3 linked regions of the Arabidopsis thaliana genome follow. The protein of the gene in region 2 interacts with the protein of the main gene of each other region in a pairwise test. Each region holds a gene or a part of one and is shown on either strand. Other genes may lie near its edges.

Region 1 (3,763 bases), about 14 Mb from region 2:
AGATACATTTTTTATGGATTATATGGAAATTAAGATGCATGAAAAGGAAATTAAGATGCCTCACATTATTTCCACCATCTAGTCATTTATGTCGTCTTAGATTCTTTTATAAATCATATTCATATGTGACTAACACGTCTTCACATTCTCATTTGATCATGTTGCTTAAAACAAATATCTCATCAACCACATAAGCAATAAATGTTTTTAGTTTTTGTTTGATTCAGTTCATTAATATATAATTACATGTCCATCTTAAGCGTTCCGTTAATTATCACATTTTTAAACTCTATGTGATTAGTTGCAGTTTGCAACTTGGTTTGTCAATTAACAATAATGTATAATTTACATATCTGTTTTTTTTGCGATTTTTTTTTTTTTTACATATATGTATGCCTCAGCATGCATTGTTATTTGTTGACTCTTTGAACTTAAGTTGTGTCCAATTGTGTCAGTCATAAATATGAACACGTGTTAAATATTATAGAGAAAGATTTGAGTTTTTACAATCTTATAATCCACTCTCCATAGTTTATATATGTACATGCACGATCAGTTTTAACTAATAATCATAAACATATATGTACATGTACAATCAATCTCATATGCAATCAAAGTAAATATAAATTAAAAAAAATGTATATATGGATCTCGTTTAGTTTAAATTCTAAACGTATATTGTCGAAGGAGAAAAACTATAATTTTGTTTGTGTATATTGATTGATTCTTCAGTAATTTCTTCAACTATTCTGATATATATATATATATATATATATATATATATCTACTTGCAATCATAGTTTAAAGATGTTATTTCTGTTAGATGTTTAATCTTGTTTTTTTCTGTCAGTAGTCTTTAATCACGTGCCAAGTAAGCAAAACACTCTCATTATTTTAAAGAATGTTGATTAAATAAACATTCGATGGGCGATGGCTATTGGAAACTGGAAAGTCAGCTAAATACAACAATTTTCCACTTAACATTCTAATTATCTAACTATTAATTATTAATCATTGCTGCATGCCTCTGTTCAACTGTACAGGCTGTTTTCGAATATTTTGTAGAGTACAACTTATCAAAAAATCCCAAACTCTTTTATCTGACAATAATATTTTAAGATATAAGAAATAGTCATAGTATCATATTTTTCAAACTATACAATTTTTATAATTTCATTAAAAGGCAAAATAAAAACCAGGTTACGTAATTAATTTAATAGTCAAATGTTTGCTACAATAATATATTTACAATTCTAGTTACATCTAAGTGTAATAAAATTACAATTCCATTATAGATAGTATAATGGATGATAAAACTTTTGTACAGTTGATAGTAAGAAAATTTAATAAAATATAGGATATTAACAAGAAAAAAAAAACAAAAAAAAAAAAACACGTTAATGGGTAAACTTCGAAACTGAAATTTTTGTAGAAAAAAACAATCACATCATCAATGTATCTTTCAAAATAATGTTTTGACAACTTATCAGTCACTTTTAATTGGGTGTGTTAGAAATAGAGGTACAGTTTAAAGTTTTTATTAGGTTTTGGGTGGTAAGGTGTGTTAGAAATCAGTTTATTTTTTAATCAGTCATTGGTGGTGGTGGAAAATATCATTTTCAAATTTCAAGTAGCAATTATGGGTGAAATTTCTTGTATAAATTTCAAGTAGCAATTAATATATCTTTTTTTATATATAGAAAATTTACATTTTGGTAAAAATTTAAATTAAAAAAAGGAGCATGGTTATATCTTGAATCTTGGTATCTACGAGCATATTATTTAGATATAACAAACAAGTTGGGAATAGACAAAACAAAATGACGAACTTTCCAACGAAAGATCCCATTATAGTAATGTTATTCTTATTTATACTTATACAATCTCTAGTGGCTTCCAAAGTACACAAAATGGGAGTATTATACCAACAAAAATAAACGACTAATGAATCAAAAAATTCAAAATTTGCTTTATTTTATTCTGAAAATCTAACGAGCTGAAACCAAAATGTTATAGATTTAAAATAGAAACAAAACACCGATGATTGACCCAATAAAAAGCAAAATAAAGTAGACCAAAAAGAATAATGGTTATGCTGATAATTGAGGAGTCGTCGTCACTCGTCACATGAGAGGAACAACAAGAAAAGTCAAAACGTTGAAGCTTTCTCGAATAACGCCTTCTTTAGTTTACAGTCTCTCGTTGCGGGTCTTATCTTCTTCTTCTTCTTCCCTCTTTCGTCTGCTCTATATTATGACCAGATTCAAAATTGCGTAGCGTACTAATTCAATATAGAGAGAAGTTAGATCAAAAGAAGAACACGAAACTCTGACTGTGTCTCTCTTTCTCTTCGTGTGTTTCTATATTTATATATAAAAAGACAAGATCTCTGGTCTGGAATTAGAAGAATCTTATTTGGGGTTTTTTCTTAGGATTAAGCTCTAATGGCAGATCAAGTAAAAGAGCGGACTTTAGAGGAGACCTCTACGTGGGCAGTTGCTGTTGTTTGCTTTGTCTTACTCTTTATTTCGATTGTCCTCGAACATTCTATTCACAAAATTGGAACCGTAAGTCTCTTTATATTTCTCCTTATTTCAAGATTCCCCTGTTTCTTGCTCTGCTTTCTGCTCTGTTTCTTTAATTACTGCTCTGTTTTTTTGGATTTGTTTAGTTCTTCTCCTATCACTATCAACACTACTAAATCTGTGAGAATAACGAAAATATCTGATCATTCCTTTTTTTGTGCCTTAAACAGTGGTTTAAAAAGAAGCACAAGCAGGCTCTTTTTGAAGCTCTTGAAAAGGTCAAAGCAGGTAACTATCTTTTTCTACTTAACTTGATCCATTATCAACAAGCTTCTTATCTTTTTCTACTTAACTTCATCCATTAACAAGCTCCTGATTTTGTTTTCTACGTAACTTCATTCAGAGCTTATGCTGTTGGGATTCATATCACTACTACTCACAATTGGACAAACACCAATCTCAAATATCTGCATCTCCCAGAAAGTTGCGTCAACAATGCACCCTTGCAGTGCTGCTGAAGAAGCTAAAAAATACGGCAAGAAAGACGCCGGAAAGAAAGATGATGGAGATGGAGATAAACCCGGTCGAAGACTTCTTCTTGAGTTAGCTGAATCTTATATCCATAGAAGAAGTTTAGCCACCAAAGGCTATGACAAATGTGCAGAGAAGGTAACTAATAATCTCCCTTCTCTCTCTATATAAAAATCATTCTCTGCTTGTTAAACCGATGGAATTTTGATTTCTATTGATGGATTTACTCAGGGGAAAGTGGCTTTTGTATCTGCTTATGGAATCCACCAGCTGCATATATTCATCTTCGTGCTCGCGGTTGTTCATGTTGTTTACTGCATTGTTACTTATGCTTTCGGAAAGATCAAGGTAACTAACATTTCTTGTGACTTACGCAGTTGTTAAGGCGAGAAAAAGAGTGTATGCAAAAGATTTTTATACTTGTTTTCTTGAGTATTGCAGATGAGGACGTGGAAGTCGTGGGAGGAAGAGACAAAGACAATAGAGTATCAGTATTCCAACGGTATGTAAATATGTGAGTATTCGACGAAACTTAAAGACCTGAATGGGAATGAATTAGTCTTGTTATGCAGATCCTGAGAGGTTCAGGTTTGCGAGGGACACATCTTTTGGGAGAAGACATCTCAATTTCTGGAGCAAGACGAGAGTCACACTATGGATTGTTTGTTTTTTTAGACAGTTCTTTGGATCTGTCACCAAAGTTGATT
Region 2 (3,763 bases):
TCATGGATACGGTTAATAGTGCCGAATGCCCATGATCCTATTAGAATGAGTGGATAGTATCCCCATCTGTTCAACACCTGTGGTTTCAGGAAACAAGCAGTGAGGTTTTAATGATGAAATCCAGCCACATGATACAGAACTAGTATTGGCAATAAAGACAGACCTTTAACTCTGCTCTATTATCAAATTGATCGACTCGGTCTGACATTCCAACTGCCATCTGAAATTAACATTGCCATTTCAGCACACAGCCAAGTGTATCAGTAACGTTTGTGAACTACTTTCAGAAGACAATGTTATTAGAGATGAGAGAGTTACATACACGTCTAGCATTTCTTAGCATCCGTATCACTTGGAAGTAAGTAAACCCATTGTAAAGAATGGCTCCCCAAAGAGGAGCGTAGAAAGTTAAAAAATGAACAGCCTGCAAAATTCAAGAGGTGATATGAGTTCCAGTAACGAAGAATAAAATACTAGTCTACATTCATCTGGCCCAGCGTTGCAACAAAAAAGTTCAAATGCCTTTTGATAGGCATTGAAATCTTTATGCTCAACTAAGCATTCTCACTTGCCTTTCCCTTAAGACCAGTTTGCGTCCAGCACCATGGCCCCAAATGTGAGTGGTTGTTACCAAAAGAACGTATGACAGTCACAACCAAGGAAGTCCCTGAGAAAAGTAACTAAAATCAGAGTCTTACTAAATCACCAAAGAAGATACTAACACATTCTAATCCTTAACCCTAGGTGGATATAGTAACAATTGAGAACCGAAACCCACGAGTATCATTTTACATACCCCATACATACAAATGAAACATTGCTTCCAAATCCTCCACATCAGTTTTATGCTTGACAACAGTACGATGAAGAGTGAAAGCAATTGTAGTTGTCCACAAGAACGAAGCAACGCAGAAGAAATGAGTAGTGTAGCCTTGTGCGTAACAAATGAACCCCTTTGAAGGATCCCTACAGTGATCAAGATGTAACAATCATCTTATCAAAATAATCTCAACAAGATTCACCAGAACCAATAGTAGTAGATAAACATACCCAACGATTAGGAAGAAACTGCAAAGCATATCCTGCAACAATTAAAAACATTGCCATTAGTCAGCAATAGAGCTCGAACCCTCACTACTCATCTCAGAACGCAATGGAACTTAACGTCTTAGCGATGTAACAATTCACAGTGAGAATAATCGAAGAAGAAGGAAGCAAAACAGTACATAATCCTAGATCTAGCACAATCAGCGAAAGGCAACAACGGGAAACTTACAGAGAGAGCAAGGTAGAAGACGAGCTTGAAAGAGAATTTTCGAAGTTCTTTGAAGAGGCAGTAGCAGAGAACGATGAAGGCTGAGCCGACGAATGAGAGACTCGAAGCGCCGGTGTTAATCGCCGTAATAATGCTGCGATCCCCGGCAGTTAAGCCTCCGCCGGCTGTGAGAACCGCCGACATTGTTATATGTGATTCCAAAACTGATCTGAGAGATTGAATTGACGATTTCCGCTGTTCGTGTTCGTCGTTTCCGTCGCGTGGTATCTTCCCCGACGGACGTTGCGTGGTGGGCTAACCTCTTACCCGGGTCGGATCGGTCGGGTCAAGTCGTGTCTTTTGAACCGGACTCCTCGTAGTGCACTTCTTTAGGCCCAGCCCAATGATTTTGTTAAGCATTAATTCATATATGCTATATTAATTATTAAAAACATTTATATGATGTTATTTACATGTCAAGTTATCACATATTTTTGGAAAATTTTAATTTTATACATGTATGAATATTTAAATTATACTAGGTAATAACTTATGTTATGCACATGTAAATATTATACTATTTAATTTTATAATTAATCTTATTTATAGTATACTCTATATAAAAATAAATATATATATATATATATATATATATAATATTATAACAAATTATGTATACTATTGTTTTTAAATAAATTATCTACACGACTATACTATCAATCACCGAGCACAAAAATACCTAGGCATGGCCTTCTGACCCGTTTTGCCCCTTTCAAGTAAATGAATTTTGGACTTGTTATAACATATAAAATATGATTATTTGCTAAATAACTTGATTTGGCTTATTACTTGCTAAATAATTTGATATTGCTTGTTACTTGTAAAATAATTGCAACTTGAATCGAAAAAAAATCTCATATACAATAGAAATTACAAAACATTCAAAGTTTCAAGCATCCTAAGCACAAAACATTCAAATAAAAATAAGTTATATATAAGCAAGTAATATATATAACAAGCTTGTACTTGCAAGTCATAAATTTATACTATTTATTAGCTGATTATTAACGACAATTATTTGTTTTTCAAAACGAATATAAAACACGTACGTAAGAACTAATAATAAGCAAATAACGAGCATTGGCTAGGTTGTCAGAATGTTGAATAGAGGCGGCGAATAAGTCTAAGTGGCATTGCTATCTTGTTGAGTTAGTATAGAAGTCCACGATTGCTTTTACGTTTTTGCGTTAGTTCTCAGAGAAGTTGTAGACTTCTATCTTGAAGTTTTGTGGACGGATCTTGGATAGTTTTGCTCGTGGCAATTAAGATGATGATTCCAGTTCTTCGGTTTTGTGGCAACCACACAATTTTCTGAGCTTCGCGGGTTCGGAATCGGTGTTTCTTTTTGCAATTTGGCTTTGACCACTTAGTAGTGATCCTTTGCATCTTGAGTTGTAATGTTGTTTTTATATTTACGTAGATTGCTTTAATCTGTTTCTAGTTTTCTCTGTAATTCTATCACAAACTAAAAATAGTATAAAATTTCACCTTTTACCAAAAAAAATAACAAGTATTAGTACCCTAATTTACGATAGTTAATGGCTGTAAGGCTAAAACTACCAAGCGGAGAAGACCATAAAAATTATAAAACATAAAAATATAATATAATTAGGTTAATGATGGAGACATTCTTCCACACATTGACACATATTGCTTCTCGTGTCCTCACTCTTTGTATATATAAGTTCATGGATCTCCCTGATTATTATTTATGTATTGCTTTTGGTCGTAAACCCCGTGGCTAGACTTATCACAATTCGTAATATAATTTACGTATACATGTTATAATGACTGTTTATTATATATATTAAATGATTTTCGTGTGCTAATTTACCCAATGACATATCATCTACTAAATGGCAACAAACGTACAAAAACCAAACAGACGAATTTTGTCAATCCACACAAAATTACATAAATTTAATTAGTACAGCAATTACGAATTATCTTCATACATTGAAATTTTATGATGGCTTGTCTAAACATGTTAGTTACGTTGCAATATTATCCCGACCCGCTCAGACTGAGAATTACATAATAGCCTTTCTATAGTCAAATACAAATAGTTCATACACGAGGTGATTGTTAGTAATACATTATTGTGAAGTACTGAAATTTTTTAGCTAATATTACTTACAAAATTCCTGGATTAATTCATTATCATGTCCGAATATATTCTAAAAAAAAACTTCTTGATGACTTAATTAACAACGGATCAAAAAATTTATTCGTTAAACCATAAAATAAAAAAAATGGCAAATATATAAATAAACATTTACTATGAGTCTATGACATACTAAATCATTGATATTGGCATAAATAACTCTGGAAATGTTTACTTCAATTGAGAGGTATACGGAAAAATACTCTTCCTCTAGGAACATGACCCATCATCTAATCCAATTTTCTAATTTGGATAATTTATAACACATGTCATTATCCTTTCGG
Region 3 (3,326 bases), 3.5 Mb from region 2:
GTTTTTTTTTCGTTAATTAGTACGAACTAATTAAAAGTTAGTGTAAAGTAGATTCGAGGTTTCACCGAGGTACACTTAGAGAGTTAGAGGGGATTGCAAAAAACCTTAATTGACAGCATTAACAATGGATTAATAGACGCATCTATTATCGGAATTTACACCGATATCTTGGATATTTAAGGTTAGAAAATAATATTTTTCTCATTCGAATCGTTGTTGTAACCAAGTAGCTCATAATTTTTTTCATTATGGGAGAGCATTGACTATACCAATTGATCCTCTTTGGTAAGATGGGACGATTTCAATAGATTTTGTTTACATTTTTTGCTTACCACTTTGAGGTAAAGAATTTGTATATGCAGGGATTATTGGGAACGTCTTCATGGGAGCCTATACCACACGGTATTCGATTCAAGCAATCTTCAAATCGGAATTGCAGAAGCTATATAAAATTATAAATGTATGTACACAGGTTTATATTTATCGTTATACGCATAAGTAAACTGTGTGTATCGATGACTCCATGTAATATCTCTATCAGAACTTTATAGTTCCTAATGGTACTAATAATTTGATCACTCTTTAGATGTAGTATTACTACAATTCAAAATTTATATCACGCATATAATAATATCATCAATCTTCCAAATCTGTTTATGATCCGTAAAATGTATCCATAACCTCTGCAAACTAGAACAACAGCAATTTGGAAACTGCTGGAATTTACATACATCTAACATAGCAAAAAGTTTGCTAGATTACAAAACTGATTCCTTAAATACAACATAAAAAATCTAAAAAAGCAAACATTGTTGGAAAAAGAAAAAGTTATAAAATAAAAAAAGGATCCAGTGTTTTTGATTGGTTATTCCTACTTGGTGAGAACGTAGATGGCATATATCAGTCCGGGGATAAAAGCGAATAACGTTAGAAGCAAACAGACCCAAAACTCCAACTGCAAACACATATACAAAGAAACAAAAAAACAAGAGATTTGATCTTACTTTGACCATTAATGTCAAATGTGTCATATATTTTTATGATTTATGAATGAAAAAAATTTACCCCAAGGCCATATCTGAGGAACACACCAACAGGAGGTATGAAGATTGCACAAAGAACCTCAAGGAAGCTACCCATTTTTTTCTTCTGTAATTTTATGTTTTTTTTATATGTTTTTTTATGTTTTTTTTTGTTTTTCTGTTTCTTAGTTTTGAACTTTGTTTTATTTCTTCTTACGTGTTCATTTCCATTTATGAACTTTGTAAAAGAACAAGAAAATAGAATTAGTGGTTACGTTAAATAAGGGAAGAAACTGAGTTTGATTGTGTAACGTCCTCTGCTTGTTCCTAAAATGAAGGAGCTCCACTTCAACACAAACAACACAACCCTTTGCGTTTTGACGCAACCTTCCGTTGTTCATCGGTTGGAAACAAAAAAATGGGATGAACACAAATAAGAAGTCGAATAACTTAAAAATAAAATGTTTTGTTTTTGGGCAAAGAAATTAAAATGTTACAATCATAATGTCTGTTACAAAAATAAAATTAAATTTCATGGATTACAAATATATATAGGCCATTAGTTTGTATTAGTATCATCTTATGTAGATAAAATGTTTGCTTTTAACTCAAGTGTAAACATAATTTTTAGTGATTTTTATCAAGTTTTTTTTCTTTTACTCAAGTTTTTTTTCCAAACATGTAAATATTCAATTATGTAAGTTTTAATCTACTTAACTTATCTATATTTGTTAGTTTAGCTTAGAACAAGTAAATCTAACTTGCTATCACTTATCGACTCCACATATTTAGTCGGGTGTAATAACTTAGAGACCCATTAGTCAAAACTAATTTAAAAATGAAATTTCGTAAACTCGGTTCTTTCATATTAGATAATCTATTAAGATATATTTTTTTAATTTAATTACGTGGTTGACAAAAATGGATAATAAAAAAAAAAGTTTAACCAAAACTAATTATCAAAGATTAATATAATTGTCACAAAACATCAAATAAAATAAATTTTGCATAGGTAGTTGAAAGAAATTAAATCTCATCTATAAAGTTTAATATATACGAGGGAAATAATATATGAGATGCGTGTTAATTAAGTGAACAGCTTAATGTTTTCCATTTGTCGGTGAATGATGTTAAAGTTTTGTGGTAGTGATAATGACAACGATCCTTCATGTAATCTATATAACTTTTATTCAGTTCAAAATATTAAATCTCTAGTTTCTTTATATATTAATTTAATCGTCCTCAGATTTTATTGGTTCTGTCAATCTTATGACAAAGACAAACGAAAAGGACAGTGATGATTAGCTTATAAATTACATATAATATAACGAGTTATTGAACAATTGACTTGAGAGGACAGCTCATATATTCATAGCATCTCTATTTGACCATTCCAATGCAATGCATGTTAAGCATGGCAACTATTCGTTCGTCTTCAGCAATATAACTTTTTGATATGTAGGGCTTTTTTATAACTTAATTCTACCTTTTTGTTTGACAAAAAATGCGATGAAAAAATCGTAAATAGTACATATTTCCATGTGATTGTTAAACTTGTATAATAACCGTAATATTACGTGAAATAAGTGAATAACATTTATCAAGTAAACTCGTTAATAAAAAAACATATATGAACAAGTTAAATAACACCATACCATTTAACGACATGCATAAAATCCACATTATGATTTTATCGTCTACGTTTTATAGAATTTAGTTATGTACAATTATACATATATCGGCCAAAGGGTTGGTCTTTAAATACTTGGAATTCTATGTAAACATGTAAAATTGCACAACTGTTTCACGGGGAGTGTCGCTATACAAATCTGACCCTCGCCTTTTTTTACGACAATGATATCTTGGATTTACACAGATTATTGAAACGCCCACATAAATCAATAAATACAACAATGTTGAGCTATGTGGACATGAAACTGTCGGGTACACGCTTCACCAACTTAAAACAGAGATTTTGATACACTCAACATAAAAGTATATGTTGAGTGTATCAAAATCTCTGTTTTATCAAGTTTAGTTCAATATCAAGTGTTGCTCGGTCTAGTAGCAAATAAACTAGGGTCATCCTAGAGCCCTCTAGTTTAAGTTTCATTTGTGAAGCGGTGAATTCACTCACTTTGGTTTATGAAAATCTACGGAGTTTGGTTCCAAACTTTGCGGATATAAAAAAAAAATGGCCAATATAACATCCACTAATATTTTGATATCTTCAATTATTAAAACAGTTTACAGTATCAATTAAGTAGTGTTTTTTTTTCCTATATACACAACTAGTTAAATTGC

Evidence for each region.
Region 1: the proteins of GCR1 (region 2) and MLO2 interact in a protein complementation assay, tested with the Arabidopsis thaliana proteins (one large-scale study listed by BioGRID).
Region 3: the proteins of GCR1 (region 2) and AT1G57550 interact in a protein complementation assay, tested with the Arabidopsis thaliana proteins (one large-scale study listed by BioGRID).

Annotation. Positions count from the first base shown.
Region 1 is NC_003070.9:3,802,552-3,806,314, reverse strand, and holds the start of MLO2 (Seven transmembrane MLO family protein), read left to right. Parts: upstream 1-2,081; 5' UTR 2,082-2,444; coding exon 2,445-2,567; intron 2,568-2,619; exon of another isoform or gene 2,620-2,755; coding exon 2,756-2,813; intron 2,814-2,928; coding exon 2,929-3,194; intron 3,195-3,287; coding exon 3,288-3,404; intron 3,405-3,497; coding exon 3,498-3,558; intron 3,559-3,628; coding exon 3,629-3,763.
Region 2 is NC_003070.9:17,828,756-17,832,518, forward strand, and holds the start of GCR1 (G-protein-coupled receptor 1), read right to left. Parts: upstream 1,666-3,763; 5' UTR 1,460-1,665; coding exon 1,277-1,459; intron 1,083-1,276; coding exon 1,051-1,082; intron 967-1,050; coding exon 797-966; intron 668-796; coding exon 573-667; intron 425-572; coding exon 323-424; intron 221-322; coding exon 164-220; intron 78-163; coding exon 1-77. UniProt on the Arabidopsis thaliana protein: Together with GPA1, may regulate the cell cycle via a signaling cascade that uses phosphatidylinositol-specific phospholipase C (PI-PLC) as an effector and inositol 1,4,5-trisphosphate(IP(3)) as a second messenger.
Region 3 is NC_003070.9:21,311,670-21,314,995, forward strand, and holds AT1G57550 (Low temperature and salt responsive protein family), read right to left. Parts: upstream 1,251-3,326; 5' UTR 1,141-1,250; coding exon 1,066-1,140; intron 956-1,065; coding exon 872-955; 3' UTR 588-871; downstream 1-587.